Linked DNA regions of Saccharomyces cerevisiae S288C. The protein of the gene in region 1 binds, or shares a complex with, the protein of each later gene. Each region holds a gene or a part of one and is shown in the gene's direction. Other genes may lie near its edges. The genes, in order: NUP85, NUP42, POM152 and SEH1.

Region 1 (4,782 bases):
TTTGTTCTCTTGTAAAGTTGTTGTTTACTAATGTTGCAAATTTGGACACAACAGAGTATGATAAGTTTGACTTTCTTTCTTCGTCAAGGATTTCAAAGTGCCTCATGAATTTTTTTTTTGCATCAGAAAGATCGAACGAAATATATTCTCTCAATTTGAAGCAATAAAAGAACAGTTCTTCAACATCAGCCGATGTAGTATCAAAAATATTAGAAGATAACACGTAATCGATTTTTTCTAGTTCCTCTGCAGGGACAATATCATCGTAGACTTCCATTATATGATACTTTAGGTCCCATTGAAGACTGTTATTAAATGATTCCAAAGTAAATACTTGAGATAAAATAGGCTTTACCTCATCGAGAGTTGCGCGCGATGCGCCCTCTGATAGTCCCTCCAAGCATATGCGTATTAAATATAAAGGAACCCTGTTGGTGGAATCGTGATTGACTTGGTCAAGTAAAGCTTGCAATAGATTTTTCCATTGTAAAGAAGATAAAGTGAACAATTGCTTCGTTATAGACTTGACATATGCAGGATGATTTATCAAAAAATAGGAATCGGGTCCTTTTCTGGAACAGTACTCATTTATTTTGGCAAAAAAATCTGATAATTCCCTTGCGTTAGCGTGTGATTGGATTATTAAATCCCAAATATGAGAGGAAAAGAGAGGATCGTTCAAATTTTCGAGCTGAATCAATTCAAGTAACCGAAAAATATGTTTAATAGCAACCTCGATATCCAATTTAAGGATAATTGGTATTAATGATAACACTCCAGATTCATCAGTCGACGCTAACATTTCAAGCAATAATGCTTCAAGGAACTCTTGAGATACGGTTTTCTTCGATTCCGATAAAAGATTCAGAAATCTGCATTCTAAACTAGGTTTCTTGGCACCTAAAATTGTAAAGATGACTTCTAGTTGAGCAAAATTGTCTTTTGATAAGAAAGTGACGAAAGTGGCAAAATAATAATAAGCCATATCGTCGGTAATTTCGGACGCATTCTCTTGGACAAACTTTTTATTTAATTTCATGTAATCTATGCGTGGTTGTAAAAGGAACTTTCCCATAAAATGAGATAGACGAATGAAGGATTGGTTTGAAGATGCAGAATTTTTGGTCTGTGCGAAATATCTTAAACTTGGTAGTAGCATATGCTTGCAGTAACAAGTAGCAATTTTGTTATCCGTTGTAGTAATATTGTCAACATGAGTTAGATTGCAGGCATCTTGCAAGTATGAAAGCGCAAAGTCAGTCGTCGGGCACGAACTTAATCCATTTATGGCATGTTCTAAAAGTTGAAAAGACTCTTCAACAGAAAAATTGACAATCAAGTAGTCATTAATCGCAAAAAATGCTTTTATAAACGAAACGCTACGTGTAAGTAATTTGTCTTTAGGCCAAAGGAAAAATGTTCTTATCATTACAGGCACAGTCTTCAATTTTTTGAGTAGTTTTTTTATCGAAATTGGATCATTAATAGCATCTAATAATCTCGTGAAAATTATCCAAGTATGTTCACTGGTCTTAAAATCATCCAAATTTCCATTGTTGAGCCTATCAATGAGTAAATCTAAGACGAAAATTTCTTTTTTTGGAAAGTAGGTTTCTAATTTATCAAATTTTGAAACTATCTCGGCAATTTGATGGGGTTTTGTGCTCGTCGAACGTAGTAATTTCGACAAATCTTGGGCATTGTCTGGGATAGATAGTTCTTCTGTAAGATCACCCATATTATCAAAAAGTGCAGTATACTCTCTGTTTTTCCAAAGATAATTGATGGCAAGCTAAATCTTAGACAGAGATGTTCCTATGCTAGTAAACAATTCTGTAGTTGTGACCAAGTGCCCTCTTAGCGATCATTTTGAGATGAGCTAAGTGAAATTTTTCAGATCGCGCACGACGGAGAGGTTTTTTAGTTGGATGGAAGTCAAGCCTTGTACAAATTGTAGTTGTATAGAAAACATTGAACTTACGGTCTTGAGTTGAGTCAATAAGCGTGAGCCAGAACGCAATTATCAGATATGACAATCGATGATTCAAATCGATTACTTATGGACGTCGATCAATTTGATTTTTTGGACGACGGAACGGCGCAACTTAGTAATAACAAGACCGATGAAGAAGAACAACTATATAAAAGGGACCCAGTCAGCGGGGCTATCCTGGTCCCTATGACTGTAAATGATCAACCGATTGAAAAAAATGGCGACAAGATGCCTTTAAAGTTCAAGCTGGGGCCACTTTCTTACCAAAATATGGCATTCATAACTGCAAAAGATAAATATAAGCTTTATCCTGTTAGAATTCCTAGATTAGATACCAGCAAAGAGTTTTCTGCATACGTATCAGGTTTATTTGAAATTTACCGTGATTTAGGTGATGACAGAGTGTTTAATGTACCAACGATTGGAGTTGTTAATTCTAATTTCGCGAAGGAGCATAATGCAACAGTAAATCTGGCCATGGAGGCGATTCTGAATGAATTGGAAGTGTTTATTGGTAGAGTCAAGGATCAGGATGGAAGAGTGAACCGATTTTATGAGTTGGAAGAATCTTTAACCGTTTTAAACTGTCTGAGGACAATGTACTTCATATTAGATGGTCAGGATGTAGAGGAGAACAGATCAGAGTTTATTGAGTCATTGCTAAACTGGATTAATAGATCAGACGGTGAACCAGATGAAGAATATATTGAACAAGTGTTTTCAGTGAAGGATTCTACAGCAGGTAAAAAAGTGTTCGAAACACAATATTTCTGGAAGCTTTTGAATCAGCTTGTTTTAAGAGGCCTGCTCTCCCAAGCTATAGGTTGCATTGAAAGATCAGATCTTTTACCATATTTGAGTGATACATGTGCCGTTTCATTTGATGCAGTAAGTGACTCCATCGAACTCCTGAAACAATATCCAAAAGATTCGTCCAGTACATTTAGAGAATGGAAAAATTTGGTGCTAAAATTAAGTCAAGCCTTTGGTAGTTCTGCTACTGATATTTCCGGTGAATTACGGGATTACATTGAAGATTTCTTGTTAGTAATTGGTGGAAATCAACGAAAAATTCTGCAGTATTCAAGGACGTGGTATGAGTCCTTTTGTGGGTTTTTATTATACTATATCCCCTCATTAGAACTATCAGCAGAATATTTACAAATGTCACTGGAAGCTAACGTCGTAGACATAACAAATGATTGGGAACAACCATGCGTCGACATCATTAGTGGTAAGATACACTCAATTTTACCGGTAATGGAATCTTTAGATAGTTGCACAGCAGCATTTACCGCTATGATTTGTGAAGCAAAAGGTTTGATAGAGAATATTTTTGAGGGTGAAAAAAATAGCGATGATTATAGTAATGAAGACAACGAAATGCTTGAAGATCTATTCTCTTATAGGAATGGTATGGCATCTTATATGCTAAATAGCTTCGCTTTTGAGTTGTGTTCACTGGGTGATAAGGAACTATGGCCCGTTGCCATTGGATTGATAGCCTTATCTGCAACAGGGACGAGAAGTGCAAAGAAAATGGTGATTGCAGAATTACTTCCACACTACCCATTTGTTACGAATGATGACATTGAATGGATGCTAAGTATATGTGTAGAATGGAGACTACCAGAAATAGCGAAGGAAATATACACCACGTTGGGTAATCAAATGTTATCGGCACACAACATAATTGAAAGTATCGCAAATTTTAGTAGGGCGGGCAAATATGAACTGGTAAAGTCATATTCGTGGCTATTATTTGAAGCTTCGTGCATGGAGGGCCAGAAGTTGGACGACCCTGTGTTGAATGCCATTGTGAGCAAAAACTCTCCTGCAGAGGATGACGTTATAATACCACAAGACATTTTAGATTGTGTAGTGACGAATTCTATGCGTCAAACTTTAGCGCCATATGCTGTTCTGTCACAATTCTATGAGCTGAGGGACAGAGAAGATTGGGGCCAAGCGCTGCGCCTATTGCTTTTGCTGATTGAATTCCCTTATTTACCAAAACATTACTTGGTTTTGCTTGTGGCGAAATTCCTGTACCCAATTTTCCTTTTAGATGATAAGAAGCTAATGGATGAAGATTCAGTGGCGACAGTCATTGAAGTTATAGAAACTAAATGGGATGACGCTGATGAAAAAAGTTCAAACTTATATGAAACCATTATTGAAGCAGATAAAAGCTTACCTAGTAGCATGGCAACACTTTTGAAAAATTTAAGAAAGAAACTAAATTTCAAATTATGTCAAGCGTTCATGTAAATCAGTATAGTAATGTCCTTCGGATGGTATATTAGGATATATGACGAAAATAAGTAAATTTAAACAACAATATATATTTATATTGATCTATTTTTCTATCACGTAAGTTGACATTTGTATTATACATTACATCACAATTAGTAATGGAAAGTGTTTGGAAAAAAAAGAAGATTATTTTGCCTTTCTTTTGAAAAAGCTTTCCAATGTTCCTTGCTTTTTTAACCTTTTATTCGATGACGGCGTTTCTTGCTTTTTTGAAGACGACAATGCCCTTTTTACCACGGGTGATGGCTTGCGTGGTGGTGTTGAAGTTGCGGGTCTCTTTGTCACAATATATCCATCCTCATCAATAAAAGAGGAGGGCTCTTCTTCAGATTTAGGTTCCTTTGAATGTTCTGTTTCAGAAGGCTTTGTTTGCTGTATTTTAGGTACATCCATAAGTGAATCTTCTGCTGTCGTTTCCAACAAGTCTTCTAAATCATCGTTGTTTTTGTCCTTATCGTTGCTGTCAGTTTCTT
Region 2 (3,523 bases), on another chromosome or scaffold:
GGGAAAGAAGGATCTTCTGTGCTATTCATTTGTAAAGATGAATTGCCATTTGTTAGAGAGTTGGAAGATGCAAAAAATATAGTCATTGCCAAACAAGAAAAATATGAGCCCAGTGAAGAAATAAAATCTGAGGTCCTAGAGGCAGTGACCGAAGAACCGGAAGACATATCAGATATTGTAATAAGTTTAATCTCATCCTACAGATCCTGTATCAAGGAATACAGGTTTTCTGAAAGGCGCATACTTCCTGAAATTGCTTCCACTTATGGTGTACTGTTAAATGATCCTCAATTAAAGATTCCAGTATCCAGAAGGTTTTTAGATAAATTAGGTTTGAGCCGTAGTCCAATTGGTAAGGCAATGTTTGAAATTAGAGACTATAGTAGTAGAGATGGAAATAACAAGTCCTACGATTATGATGATGATTCAGAAATTTCTTTCAGAGGCAACAAAAACTATAATAATAGGAGCCAAAATAGAGATTACGATGACGAACCGTTTAGACGCAGCAACAACAATAGACGCTCATTCTCCCGTAGTAATGATAAAAATAATTACTCCAGTAGAAACAGCAACATATATTAGAAAAGATAAAAAAGGAGGACCAAGAGATGTGGGTTGTATTTTAAATAACAATTCCTCTATTAAGACGCCTGTATTTTAGACCCCATCTTGATTCAATACTTTCACGTGTAAATACCTAGTATATAAATATTAAACAAAAATTTTTTTTCTTCTCCTATTCTCTTAAAATGATAACTATACGAAGATCCTACTGGTATATTTATTCGTCAATGCTTATTTACGACCGGTACCTCCATTCTTACTTTCGCTCTTCCTCCTCTCAAAGGAAAAGTAATTCTAACATTGTAATTCTTATTTAAACGGATGGAAGAAAGCTTTTGAGAATTTACTTGAAAAGTCAGGGTGTCTTAGGCGATTGATCACGGACATAGCCATATTACGAAAACTTCATTCTGAATATTGCCAACGAGACAATCGTGGGCTTGGTAATCGTTGAAAAATTTTCACATATTTTATGAACAGCTGAGCCTATTAACAATGAAAATAGTCTATACGATAGTCCAGAACTGAATAACAGTGTCAATCACTTTTTTTTTTATGATTAAATCCTAGTTAAAGTGCCGCTCTGCGAAAGAAAAATCAATAAATACCATTTGTTAGTGATCTAGCAATAATATCAATGACATCTTGTCTTATCTTAAAAATAAACAAAAAATTCTTTACAGTGTACTGAGCATTAATCTGGCTACGGCCTGGAGGGAAATTATGTCTTATACGAATTTTGCTCCGGCAATTCTATTTACGCTGTTTAGCTTATCATGCGATTTCAACCTTCTTTATATAGTAAATTAGCTTCGAAATAAAAGTATTCGCGAGAGGACAAGACATGAAACCTAAACCACGACGCTGAAGGTAACGACATCATAATACGTTTCAAAGGGCTAACCTTAATATACTGACATCTAGAAATATATTAATTCTGCATATCAAGAAACACGCCGACTGAGGGTGCAAGGTATTTGAAAAAAAATAGTGAATCAATAGATGAGCGCACAATGTTTAAAGTACTATAACACTGAACTGTTGTACTTTAACGCAAAAGCTCATCAAGCTATCATTAAATTTCGACCCGAGCAACGACTCAACTGTAATGTCAGCTTTCGGTAACCCATTCACGTCGGGTGCTAAGCCTAATCTTTCTAATACAAGTGGTATCAACCCTTTCACAAATAATGCTGCTAGTACCAATAACATGGGAGGAAGTGCATTTGGAAGACCTAGTTTTGGAACAGCAAACACAATGACAGGAGGAACCACCACTTCAGCATTTGGAATGCCCCAGTTTGGTACCAATACAGGCAATACTGGCAATACGTCAATTAGCGCTTTTGGGAACACCAGTAATGCGGCTAAACCGTCAGCATTTGGAGCACCAGCATTTGGTTCTAGCGCCCCCATCAATGTTAATCCGCCTTCTACTACGTCAGCATTTGGAGCACCGTCATTTGGATCAACAGGTTTTGGTGCTATGGCGGCGACAAGTAATCCTTTTGGTAAAAGTCCTGGCTCAATGGGCTCTGCATTTGGTCAACCAGCTTTTGGAGCGAACAAAACTGCTATCCCTTCTAGTTCGGTTAGTAATAGTAATAACTCCGCATTTGGTGCTGCGTCAAACACGCCCTTGACCACAACTTCTCCTTTTGGTTCACTGCAACAAAACGCATCACAAAATGCATCATCTACATCGTCAGCGTTTGGCAAACCGACTTTCGGCGCAGCTACTAATACCCAGTCGCCATTTGGTACTATTCAAAATACAAGTACAAGCAGTGGGACAGGAGTATCCCCATTTGGCACATTTGGAACTAATAGTAATAACAAATCACCTTTTAGTAATCTACAGAGCGGAGCAGGCGCTGGTTCTTCGCCGTTTGGTACTACAACCTCCAAAGCTAACAACAACAATAACGTGGGCAGTAGCGCATTCGGAACGACGAATAATCAATCTCCTTTTAGCGGAGGTTCTGGGGGCACCTTTGGTTCTGCTTCTAACCTCAATAAAAATACCAATGGCAACTTTCAATCTTCTTTTGGTAATAAAGGGTTTTCATTCGGAATTACACCACAAAACGATGCCAACAAAGTCTCGCAATCGAACCCTTCATTTGGGCAAACAATGCCAAACACAGATCCGAACATAAGTTTGAAGAGCAATGGTAACGCAACCTCTTTTGGATTTGGACAACAACAGATGAATGCTACTAATGTCAACGCTAATACGGCCACCGGAAAAATTAGATTTGTTCAAGGGTTATCTTCTGAAAAGGACGGTATTCTAGAATTGGCCGATCTCGCAGAGGAAACACTGAAAATATTCAGAGCAAACAAGTTTGAACTAGGCCTTGTCCCTGATATACCTCCACCACCTGCATTGGTTGCATAGTAAGGTCAAAGAAAAACATACAAAATGGTAACTTAAACAATATATATGAATATATATATATATCTAATGAAAAATGCATTAATTTTATCTCCAACCTTTTTTGGTAGGACAAATACTTTCTATAATAATGAGGTAACATGCTGACAATCTCCCAGTACAACTAGGTCTACAAATTTCAAAGAGTCTAGCACATTCTTAGGCGGCATACTGGTGTTTAAATATAACACAATACCCCTGTTTGCATGGACTTTGGCCGCAAACTGCCTGCAAATATTTTTCACTCCGGGAATCTTCAAACTCGTTCCAACAATAATCAAACAATCAATTCTTTTCTTTAAGTCATTATTGGCAATTTCACCGATAAAATCACCTTCAGGGTGGACCTCATTGTATAAAATTACTCTTGGACGCAACTTGCCCACACCAGTAGATCTTAAGCCTGCCATTTTTCTAACTGTTTCATATTCTTCACATTGTGGACATGACGGTATGATTTCAGTCCGAGAATCAAATTTGTCGTCGCATTTGAACAGTTCAGGGTCAAAAGGTTTGATA
Region 3 (6,211 bases), on another chromosome or scaffold:
AGGCCATTGTTACCGTTTATATTCGTCTGCTGTTTTTGAACATGATTTCGAACAGTTCTCTAAACCTGAAATCTTAAGAATGCCAGTGGAGAGCATCGTGTTACAAATGAAGAGCATGGCCATTCATAATATCATTAATTTTCCATTTCCAACTCCTCCAGATAGAGTTGCCCTTTCCAAGGCAATACAATTACTGCAATATTTAGGTGCTCTTGATAATAAGGAGATGATTACTGAAGATGGTAAAAAAATGAGCCTGTTCCCACTTTCACCCAGATTTTCCAAAATGTTACTTGTTTCTGACGAAAAAGCCTGCCTTCCTTATATTGTAGCAATTGTTAGTGCCCTTTCGGTGGGAGATCCTTTTATCAATGAATTTGAGTTGGGAATAAACGAAATTTCTAGAAAACCAAATCCAGATGAAAATCTAGATGATAAGATTAGAGAGCACGATGAATCAACACCAGGTATGGATCCTGAACTGAAAAAGGAATTGCGCAGTAAATTCTATAAAAGCAGGAGTCAGTTTAGTAAATTAGACAAATTTAGTGACGTATTCCGTTTATTAAGTGTTGTAAGTGCAATGGACTACGTTCCAAAGGAACAAAAAGAAATATTCATGAAGAAAAATTTTTTAAGAGGCAAACTAATGGAAGAAATAGTAAAATTGAGGAAGCAGTTAATGTATATCATCAAGTCCAACACTTCAAAAGAAAATATTGCCGTAGTAATTAGGAATGAAGACTTGAAAAGTGATATTCCAAGCGTCATACAAATAAAACTTTTAAAACAAATGATTTGCGCTGGTTTTGTCGACCATGTTGCCGTAAGAGCAGATGTTTTATTTCCAGATGATGCTAAGATAACCAACAGAACTTCCATAATCAACATTCCTTATATTCCTGTTTTGGCCACGAGAACACCAAATATCGAGGACTGCTTTGTCTATATCCATCCGACTTCAATTTTAAATAATTTGGGGGAAATGCCACCCAAATACATGCTCTATTATTCCTTGCACCTTGGTGGAAATAATAAAACAAGGATGAATACTTTATGTGACATCGCAAGCACCCCCTTAGCGAACATAGCAAGAAAGGGACTTCTTTTGACATACAGTAAACCTCTGACTGGTCAAGGCTTGAAGACCGTTAATTTATCACCTACGGAACGGTATTGTTATGTGGTTCCTAGATTTGGATCCACAGTTGACAACGATCTCAAGATTGGTTGGGATTTAAATCCTATAGCAGTGCATCAGAAGAAGCAAAAAGGCCAGTGGACAGTCATTAAGTTTATCACCAGAAAGGGCTTCCAGACCATCACAGGTGAAGAGAAAGAAAAAAAATAATGCGCTGGTATTATAGAAATAGAGTTTCATTATATAAGAACATATAGGAAGAATACATTATTCCTATCTAGGGCATCAAATAATTGCAACCACTTAATGTTAACTTCCTTCATAATTCAAAACATTATGTTCTATAGCACTATGTATTTTATGTCATTATATACGTAGTCAATAACTTTATACGTTTTTTTTATTGAACAAAAGTAAGAATTGCTTAAGACATAATAAGAGGAAACTCATCGAACCAATTCAAAACGGATTATAGATTTATCATACCAGATACGTTTATCAGGAGGCTTGTATAATGGAGCACAGATATAACGTGTTTAATGATACTCCACGAGGGAACCATTGGATGGGCAGTTCTGTGTCAGGATCACCACGTCCATCTTATAGCAGTCGTCCTAATGTAAACACAACACGACGCTTCCAATATAGTGACGATGAGCCCGCTGAGAAAATCCGACCTTTACGCTCGAGGAGCTTTAAAAGTACTGAAAGTAACATAAGCGATGAAAAATCAAGGATATCTGAACGTGACAGCAAAGACCGCTACATTAATGGTGATAAAAAGGTAGACATTTATTCACTGCCTCTAATATCAACCGATGTTTTAGAAATTTCCAAACAAAGGACATTTGCGGTGATATTGTTTTTAATAATTCAATGTTATAAAATATATGACCTGGTAATACTTAAATCGGGGTTACCGCTTTCGGGTTTACTGTTTAAGAACTATCGATTTAATTTCATATCCAAGTATTTCATTATAGATTCCTTCTTCCTGTATGTTTTACCATCCTTTAACATTCCTAGGTTGACTTTTAAGCCATGGGTTGTTTATCTCCAGATTTTAGCTATGCTACTATTGAACATTTTCATATCAAGCGATCACGAGTTCGTTTTGATTTCATTAATTATGACCACATGGAGAAAACTTTATACGAAAGAATTAAGTGTAACAGGTTCAGCCATTAACCATCATCGTATTTTTGATTCTTCCGCTCATTTTAAGGGTGCTCTAACAATCAAGATCCTACCTGAAAACACAGCTATGTTTAATCCTCTTCATGAATCATATTGTTTGCCCATGGATACCAATCTTTTTAAAATTAACTCAATTGACGTACCCATCAGAATAAACTCAACTGAAGAGATTGAATATATCGAGTTGGAATATAGAGATCTTTACACAAATTCGGTAGAGTTACGGTCTTTGAGTAAGAAAGACTTCAAAATCATCGATAACCCCAAATCCTTTTTAAAAAAAGATCAGTCAGTTCTAAAGTCACATTCAAACGATTTTGAAGAAGGCAGTACAATTCGTTATTTGGCTGTAACTCTTCAAGATATTGGCTTTTATCAAATCAAAAAAATTGTTGATTCAAAAAAACTGAATTTAAAGATCCATCAGTCACACTTGGTTGTACCCTACTGTCCAATTGCATCTATTACTGGAACTGGAAGCAATGATAGATGTATTGGCGATTCAGATAATGTTTCTTTTGAAATTCAAGGTGTGCCCCCAATGAAATTAGCATACTCTAAGATCGTTAATGGTCAAACTTTTTCATATGTAGACTCCAGCTTGCAACCAGAATATTTTGAGTCTCCTTTGCAGTCAAGCAAATCCAAACAAAGTTTTACTCAAGGAGAACTAAACGATTTGAAATGGGGAAGAAACCAACCTGTTAATATTAATTTAGACTCTTCCATTACCCAGGACGGCAAATTTGCATATAAAATTGATAAAATAACTGATGGTCTGGGAAATGTCGTGGATTTTACATCTCTCCCTGAAGAATTAAAAAAGCGCTATGATCTATCTTATAATTTCAATGTTCATGAGGTTCCACGTGCAGCGCTAGAAGAAAGATTTGATCCAAAGTCACCCACAAAAAGGTCTATTGCCATCGTGTTTGAAGAAATCAAAAACTGGATTTCAGACATTCCATATGTTATTAGCCTATCCTATACTGATGCACAAGACAAGTCGAAAAAGATAATGAATGTTACTACAGATTCTTTGACCAAAGTGTTGCAAGCGGATCTTCCGGGGTCATATAACTTAGAATATATTGAATCTAAGTTTTGTCCAGGTGAAATTGTGGGTAAATCAAACGTTCTTGTAACTATGCCAGTTGCACCTACTATGGAAGTTAAATCATTTCCAATATTGGACCAGTGTGTGGGACAGGTTGGTCTAAACTTTGAACTATCTTTTACTGGGGCTCCACCATACTATTATAACACTAAAATCTATAAGCTTGAAAACGGTGAAAGAAAGTTATATGATGCAAAGAGATACACCTCTGAAGGTACGAGAAATCGCTTCAGCTATAGTCCACCTAAAGAAGGTAACTATGAAATCGTGTTTGATACTGTTTCTAATAAATTATTCACTGAACCAATCAAATTGGAACCTGTAAAAGAATATACTTTCAAGACATCAATGAGGGTGAAACCAAGCGCATCACTAAAATTACACCATGATTTGAAACTCTGTTTGGGTGACCACAGCAGTGTCCCAGTAGCACTAAAAGGCCAAGGCCCTTTTACGTTAACATATGATATCATTGAAACTTTTTCTAGCAAGAGGAAAACTTTTGAAATTAAAGAAATAAAAACCAACGAATATGTCATTAAAACACCAGTCTTTACTACTGGTGGTGATTATATTCTATCTTTGGTTTCTATCAAGGATTCTACCGGCTGTGTAGTTGGACTCAGCCAACCAGATGCTAAAATACAGGTGAGGAGAGATATTCCATCTGCTGCATTCAATTTTTTTGAACCTATCAAAGAAGCTAAAATTAAGCACGGTTCTGTCACTGAAATTCCGCTCAAATTAAGTGGAGAGGGGCCATTCACCGTTAAGTTTAAACACATGGATTACGATGGAAACATTGTGAAAGAATTTGAAAACAAATTTCAGAATAGTTATAAGCCCGCTTTGAAAGTAAGTAAAGAAGGGCTTTACCAATTGGTCGATATTCGTGACTCAAGTTGCCAAGGTAATGTGATTTACCGGAACAGTCTGTATAAGGTATCTTTCTTGGAGAAGCCAAAATTTGCAATTCAAGACAATCATCACATTACAAAAGTAACGGAAAATTTATTCTCTAAAGAAGAAGTCTGTCAAGGGATGGAAGGTACGGTTGATTTGGCTCTATTTGGTTCTCCACCATTCATATTAGAATATGATTTGATGGCACCCAACGGTCATATTTCTACAAAAAAAATTCAGGTGGCAACCAAATACGCTTCACTGAAACTGCCTAATCAAATTCCTGGAGAGTACATAACTACTATTAAGGCCATCTTCGATGGCAATTATGGTGAAAGCGACATACATTTTAGAGAACATCAGTCGGAGCTCATAATCAAACAGACAGTGCACCCCATTCCAGACGTCGCCTTTGCTGATGGTGGTAAAACCTTGCGTGCATGTGCTGCTAATGTAGATCAAATCTCATTTTTGGAACCAATAAATTTGAAATTTTTACAAGGCGAAAGCCCATTTTCAATCACCTTTAGCGTTTATCACGAGAGTACCAGTAGGACAGATCAGTATACCATTGACAACATTGACTCAGAGAACTTTTCATTTGAAAAGTTATATGAAGGGATGAAGTTAGGTAACCATGCCATTACTATTGATTCTGTTGTTGACGCAAATGGTTGTGTTAACAGCCTCATATCTGGACCGCGTAATCAAATTCTTGTGTCAATTACTGATGCACCAAAGATACATATATTAGATCCTTCTACCGAGTATTGTGTTGGGGACTATGTTGCATATCAATTAAACGGTGTGGCACCTTTCATGATTAAGTATGAATTCAACGGTATTCCACTAAAATCTAAGGAACGCAGCTCCCAATTTGTTAGATTAGCATCTGAACCGGGCATTATATCTATCACTTCTTTACAGGATTCATCATCACAATGCATTGTCGACTTTACGAACCCTAAATTAAAGAGTGAATTTGATGACTTATCTTTAAACATACATCCTATTCCTTCCGTAACTGTTTCTCAAGGAAATTACGTTACTGAGGATATCCGCGAAGGTGACCAGGCTGAAGTAATCTTTTCGTTTGAAGGTACCCCACCATTCTCACTAACTTATGTAAGGACAGAAGAGACTGATGGAAAACACGGCAAAAGGAGGTCGCAGGTTGTTGAGACGCATAAAGTCACTGATATATATTCTCATGAATACAAGGTAATTACAAGCTTGCAAGGTACCTACGAGGCGATTGAAATTACAGATGCTTATTGTTTTGCCAAAAATGATCTTTTTTTCAATAACTAAATATTACAAGAAAGTCTGATGAAATTTTTCTTTCCCGCAATATTTTTGTACAATTGTAATGTATAATATATCTCTGTACATCAGTATTAAAATACTTAAGAAAGCGAAAAAGACGCCTGTATTGTTTGTTGTTCTTTTTCTTCAAAATTATCAAGACGCTCGATTCAATTATCTTCGCTCATAGTAACTCGAAAGAGTGTAGGTGAATGAATAGAAAAAGAGAGCGCTGAGACCTTTGTCCTTTACGGTCTATAGAGGTGTGTTAAAAGCAGACTTTTGAACATCCACAGAAATTGGCTCAATGACCTATCCGAAAAGAATACCTATAAATGCGTGGTCTGAAGTTCATAGGGTGGCAAGGCCACTAATTATTACTTTCGACGCATATAATACACTATACGCCACAAAACTTCCCGTCATGGAACAATACTGCATTGTTGGGCGTAAATATGGTATCAAGGCGAATCCTTCGACTTTAACAAACAATTTTCCACACGTTTTTAAAAAACTGAAGGAAGACTATCCCCAATACGGAAAATATT
Region 4 (3,201 bases), on another chromosome or scaffold:
TACCATCCAGGTTATTTCGGTAAGGTTGGTATGAGATACTTCCACAAGCAACAAGCTCATTTCTGGAAGCCAGTCTTGAACTTGGACAAATTGTGGACATTGATCCCAGAAGACAAGAGAGACCAATACTTGAAATCTGCTTCTAAGGAAACTGCTCCAGTTATTGACACTTTGGCAGCCGGTTACGGTAAGATCTTGGGTAAGGGTAGAATTCCAAATGTTCCAGTTATCGTCAAAGCTAGATTCGTCTCCAAGTTGGCTGAAGAAAAAATCAGAGCTGCTGGTGGTGTTGTTGAATTGATCGCTTAAGCGCATCAACAAAAACTCTATGTATTTTCCAATAAATTATATATCTTCAGTTTAATCTAATTCAACATCTACTTCTGTATTATTTCTATCACCCATTTTCACCGTTTTTTCGTCTTGTCTATTTTGAAGTTACCAGTGGCAGATCCCAACGCTTTTATCGCTTTTTTAAAAGATTTTCAAAATCCATATATAAACATAGGGTCCAAAAAGAAAACAAATAACAAAACAAGAAAACCTATTCGAGGTAAAGACCAGGAAAAACAAAATGACTGCAGTTAACATCTGGAAGCCAGAAGATAATATACCTAGGGAGATTTTGGCAATTCTTTCGAAACCTCACCCAAATTATCAGTTAGCGTTTTTGAATATTATACAACTTTTGAAAACGCAAAGAAGAACTGGTTGGGTTGACCATGGTATTGACCCATGCGAAAGTATATCTGACCATATGTACAGAATGGGTTTAACTACCATGCTGATTACGGACAAGAATGTTGATCGTAACAAATGTATCAGAATCGCACTTGTTCACGATTTTGCGGAGTCATTAGTTGGTGATATTACACCTAATGACCCAATGACAAAGGAAGAGAAACATCGCAGAGAATTTGAAACTGTCAAGTATCTCTGTGAAAGCATAATAAGGCCCTGCAGTGAAAGCGCATCTAGGGAAATTCTTGATGACTGGTTAGCATACGAAAAGCAGACCTGTTTGGAAGGAAGATATGTCAAAGATATTGATAAGTATGAAATGTTGGTTCAATGTTTTGAGTACGAACAAAAGTATAATGGCAAGAAGGATTTGAAACAATTTTTGGGAGCCATCAATGATATAAAAACTGATGAAGTTAAAAAATGGACACAATCTTTACTGGAAGATCGACAAGCCTTTTTCGACAGTTTGAAGGAGTAATAATGTGGCCTTTTGAAAGAAAAGTTAGTGCTTTTTTTTCTTTTCTCAAACCTTCACCTGGTGGTGCGTATCATTTATAATAACATCTTGATGCTTTTCAACGAGATAGTGCCCATTTTATTTTGCATGTATTATACTTCCAGCACCCGGTGTGCATTATATGTAACTTTAGAAATAATCTTTTGTATATTATTCGCGATTGAATGTGCGTGCTGCATTATCAACCAAGTTTTAATATATCTGTTTCTCTTATTTATTGTTAGTTAAGTCTTCGGCAAAACGATGGAAAAAATCATGAACTGAATAGAGACAAGTAAACCAAATTATAAACAAGGTTTCCCTTCTGAAGAGATACTAAGGAAGAAGAAGAACGACCCAATAATATTTCTGAATATGCAACCATTTGATAGTGGGCATGATGATTTAGTTCATGATGTCGTTTATGACTTTTACGGAAGACATGTGGCAACATGCTCTTCTGATCAACATATTAAAGTTTTTAAATTAGACAAGGACACGAGTAATTGGGAACTCAGTGACTCATGGAGAGCTCACGACAGTAGTATCGTGGCCATTGATTGGGCCAGTCCAGAATATGGGCGCATCATTGCTTCAGCCTCTTACGATAAGACGGTAAAATTATGGGAAGAAGATCCCGACCAAGAAGAATGCTCTGGCCGTCGTTGGAACAAGCTGTGTACCCTGAATGATTCCAAAGGATCACTTTATAGTGTAAAATTTGCGCCAGCGCATTTGGGCTTAAAATTAGCTTGTTTGGGTAACGATGGAATCCTCAGACTTTATGATGCCTTAGAACCTTCTGACCTAAGGTCATGGACACTGACTTCTGAGATGAAAGTGCTATCTATACCACCAGCAAATCATTTACAGTCTGATTTTTGTCTCTCTTGGTGTCCTTCGAGATTTTCTCCTGAAAAGCTCGCAGTCTCTGCATTGGAACAAGCGATTATATACCAAAGGGGTAAAGACGGTAAACTTCACGTTGCAGCAAAACTTCCCGGTCATAAAAGTTTAATAAGAAGTATCAGCTGGGCTCCTTCCATTGGTAGATGGTATCAACTCATTGCAACAGGTTGCAAAGATGGTAGAATTAGAATTTTCAAAATCACAGAAAAACTAAGTCCCCTGGCCTCAGAGGAGTCTTTAACTAACTCAAATATGTTTGATAATAGTGCTGATGTTGACATGGATGCACAGGGCAGATCAGACTCAAATACCGAAGAGAAAGCTGAGCTACAATCAAACTTGCAAGTTGAACTTCTAAGCGAGCATGATGACCATAATGGCGAAGTTTGGTCCGTGTCTTGGAATTTAACGGGTACAATCTTAAGCAGTGCTGGGGATGATGGGAAGGTACGTTTATGGAAAGCCACTTATTCAAATGAATTTAAGTGTATGTCAGTAATTACTGCCCAACAATAAATAAGAATATATGTATACATAACATTATATATTGGTACTTTATACGTGTGCATTATTCTGTATAATACGAGGCAACAGATGAATCAAGAAAGATGATGCTTTTAAAAAGCTCTTACAAATATAATGATATTACATCAAATGATATTATTATTCTTGATATTGGGTATTCTTTCGAATTATATCAAGCTTCCCTTCCCTCGCCTTTTCGCCTGGAAATTTTTCAATGCCGAGATTAAAAAATTTGTCAATGAAAATGCATTCTACTACTTAATAAAGAGGTGATGAGCTTATAAGCCAACTTCTTTTAAACACAAAACTAAATCTGATATTGAGGACCCCCACCAACTATGCCACCAAAAGAAGCTCCCAAGAAATGGAAGGCGCCAAAAGGGCCAAAACCTACCCACCGTAAAAATAAAAATAAGCTTGAATTAGGCAGAGCTATTAAATATGCACGTCAAAAAGAAAATGCCATCGAGTATTTACCTGATGGTGAAATGAGGTTCACTACCGATAAGCATGAGGCCAACTGGGTT

The links.
Region 2: NUP85 (region 1) and NUP42 share a complex: the UniProt entries of both Saccharomyces cerevisiae proteins name them as parts of the nuclear pore complex.
Region 3: NUP85 (region 1) and POM152 share a complex: the UniProt entries of both Saccharomyces cerevisiae proteins name them as parts of the nuclear pore complex.
Region 4: the proteins of NUP85 (region 1) and SEH1 are in contact, whole or in part, in a crystal structure (PDB 3F3P), measured with the Saccharomyces cerevisiae proteins. Residues at the interface, in NP_012576.1 of Saccharomyces cerevisiae: Ser44 (codon at 2,159), Gly45 (codon at 2,162), Ala46 (codon at 2,165), Ile47 (codon at 2,168), Leu48 (codon at 2,171), Val49 (codon at 2,174), Pro50 (codon at 2,177), Met51 (codon at 2,180), Thr52 (codon at 2,183), Asp55 (codon at 2,192), Gln56 (codon at 2,195), Pro57 (codon at 2,198), Ile58 (codon at 2,201), Glu59 (codon at 2,204), Lys60 (codon at 2,207), Lys64 (codon at 2,219), Met65 (codon at 2,222), Pro66 (codon at 2,225), Leu67 (codon at 2,228), Lys68 (codon at 2,231), Phe69 (codon at 2,234), Lys70 (codon at 2,237), Leu71 (codon at 2,240), Gly72 (codon at 2,243), Pro73 (codon at 2,246), Leu74 (codon at 2,249), Tyr76 (codon at 2,255), Gln77 (codon at 2,258), Asn78 (codon at 2,261), Met79 (codon at 2,264); in NP_011415.1 of Saccharomyces cerevisiae: Met1 (codon at 1,616), Gln2 (codon at 1,619), Pro3 (codon at 1,622), Phe4 (codon at 1,625), Asp5 (codon at 1,628), Ser6 (codon at 1,631), Gly7 (codon at 1,634), His8 (codon at 1,637), Asp9 (codon at 1,640), Asp10 (codon at 1,643), Leu11 (codon at 1,646), Val12 (codon at 1,649), His13 (codon at 1,652), Asp14 (codon at 1,655), Val15 (codon at 1,658), Val16 (codon at 1,661), Tyr17 (codon at 1,664), Asp18 (codon at 1,667), Phe19 (codon at 1,670), Tyr20 (codon at 1,673), Gly21 (codon at 1,676), Arg22 (codon at 1,679), Val24 (codon at 1,685), Thr26 (codon at 1,691), Leu38 (codon at 1,727), Trp45 (codon at 1,748), Pro66 (codon at 1,811), Glu67 (codon at 1,814), Tyr68 (codon at 1,817), Gly69 (codon at 1,820).

Annotation. Positions count from the first base shown.
Region 1 is NC_001142.9:512,026-516,807, forward strand, and holds NUP85 (Nup85p), read left to right. Parts: upstream 1-2,029; coding exon 2,030-4,264; downstream 4,265-4,782. Other genes in the region: ribosome biogenesis protein URB2, read right to left, coding at 1-1,738; DNA polymerase delta subunit POL32, read right to left, coding at 4,436-4,782. UniProt on the Saccharomyces cerevisiae protein: Functions as a component of the nuclear pore complex (NPC).
Region 2 is NC_001136.10:843,014-846,536, reverse strand, and holds NUP42 (FG-nucleoporin NUP42), read left to right. Parts: upstream 1-1,675; coding exon 1,676-2,968; downstream 2,969-3,523. Other genes in the region: MSS116 (ATP-dependent RNA helicase), read left to right, coding at 1-585; NAD-dependent histone deacetylase HST4, read right to left, coding at 3,088-3,523. UniProt on the Saccharomyces cerevisiae protein: Functions as a component of the nuclear pore complex (NPC).
Region 3 is NC_001145.3:526,149-532,359, forward strand, and holds POM152 (Pom152p), read left to right. Parts: upstream 1-1,655; coding exon 1,656-5,669; downstream 5,670-6,211. Other genes in the region: ATP-dependent RNA helicase ECM16, read left to right, coding at 1-1,351; DPI35 (Dpi35p), read left to right, coding at 5,971-6,211. UniProt on the Saccharomyces cerevisiae protein: Functions as a component of the nuclear pore complex (NPC).
Region 4 is NC_001139.9:311,619-314,819, forward strand, and holds SEH1 (Seh1p), read left to right. Parts: upstream 1-1,615; coding exon 1,616-2,665; downstream 2,666-3,201. Other genes in the region: 60S ribosomal protein uL15 RPL28, read left to right, coding at 1-309; YGK1 (5'-deoxynucleotidase), read left to right, coding at 575-1,222; ribosome biogenesis GTPase LSG1, read left to right, coding at 3,013-3,201. UniProt on the Saccharomyces cerevisiae protein: Functions as a component of the nuclear pore complex (NPC).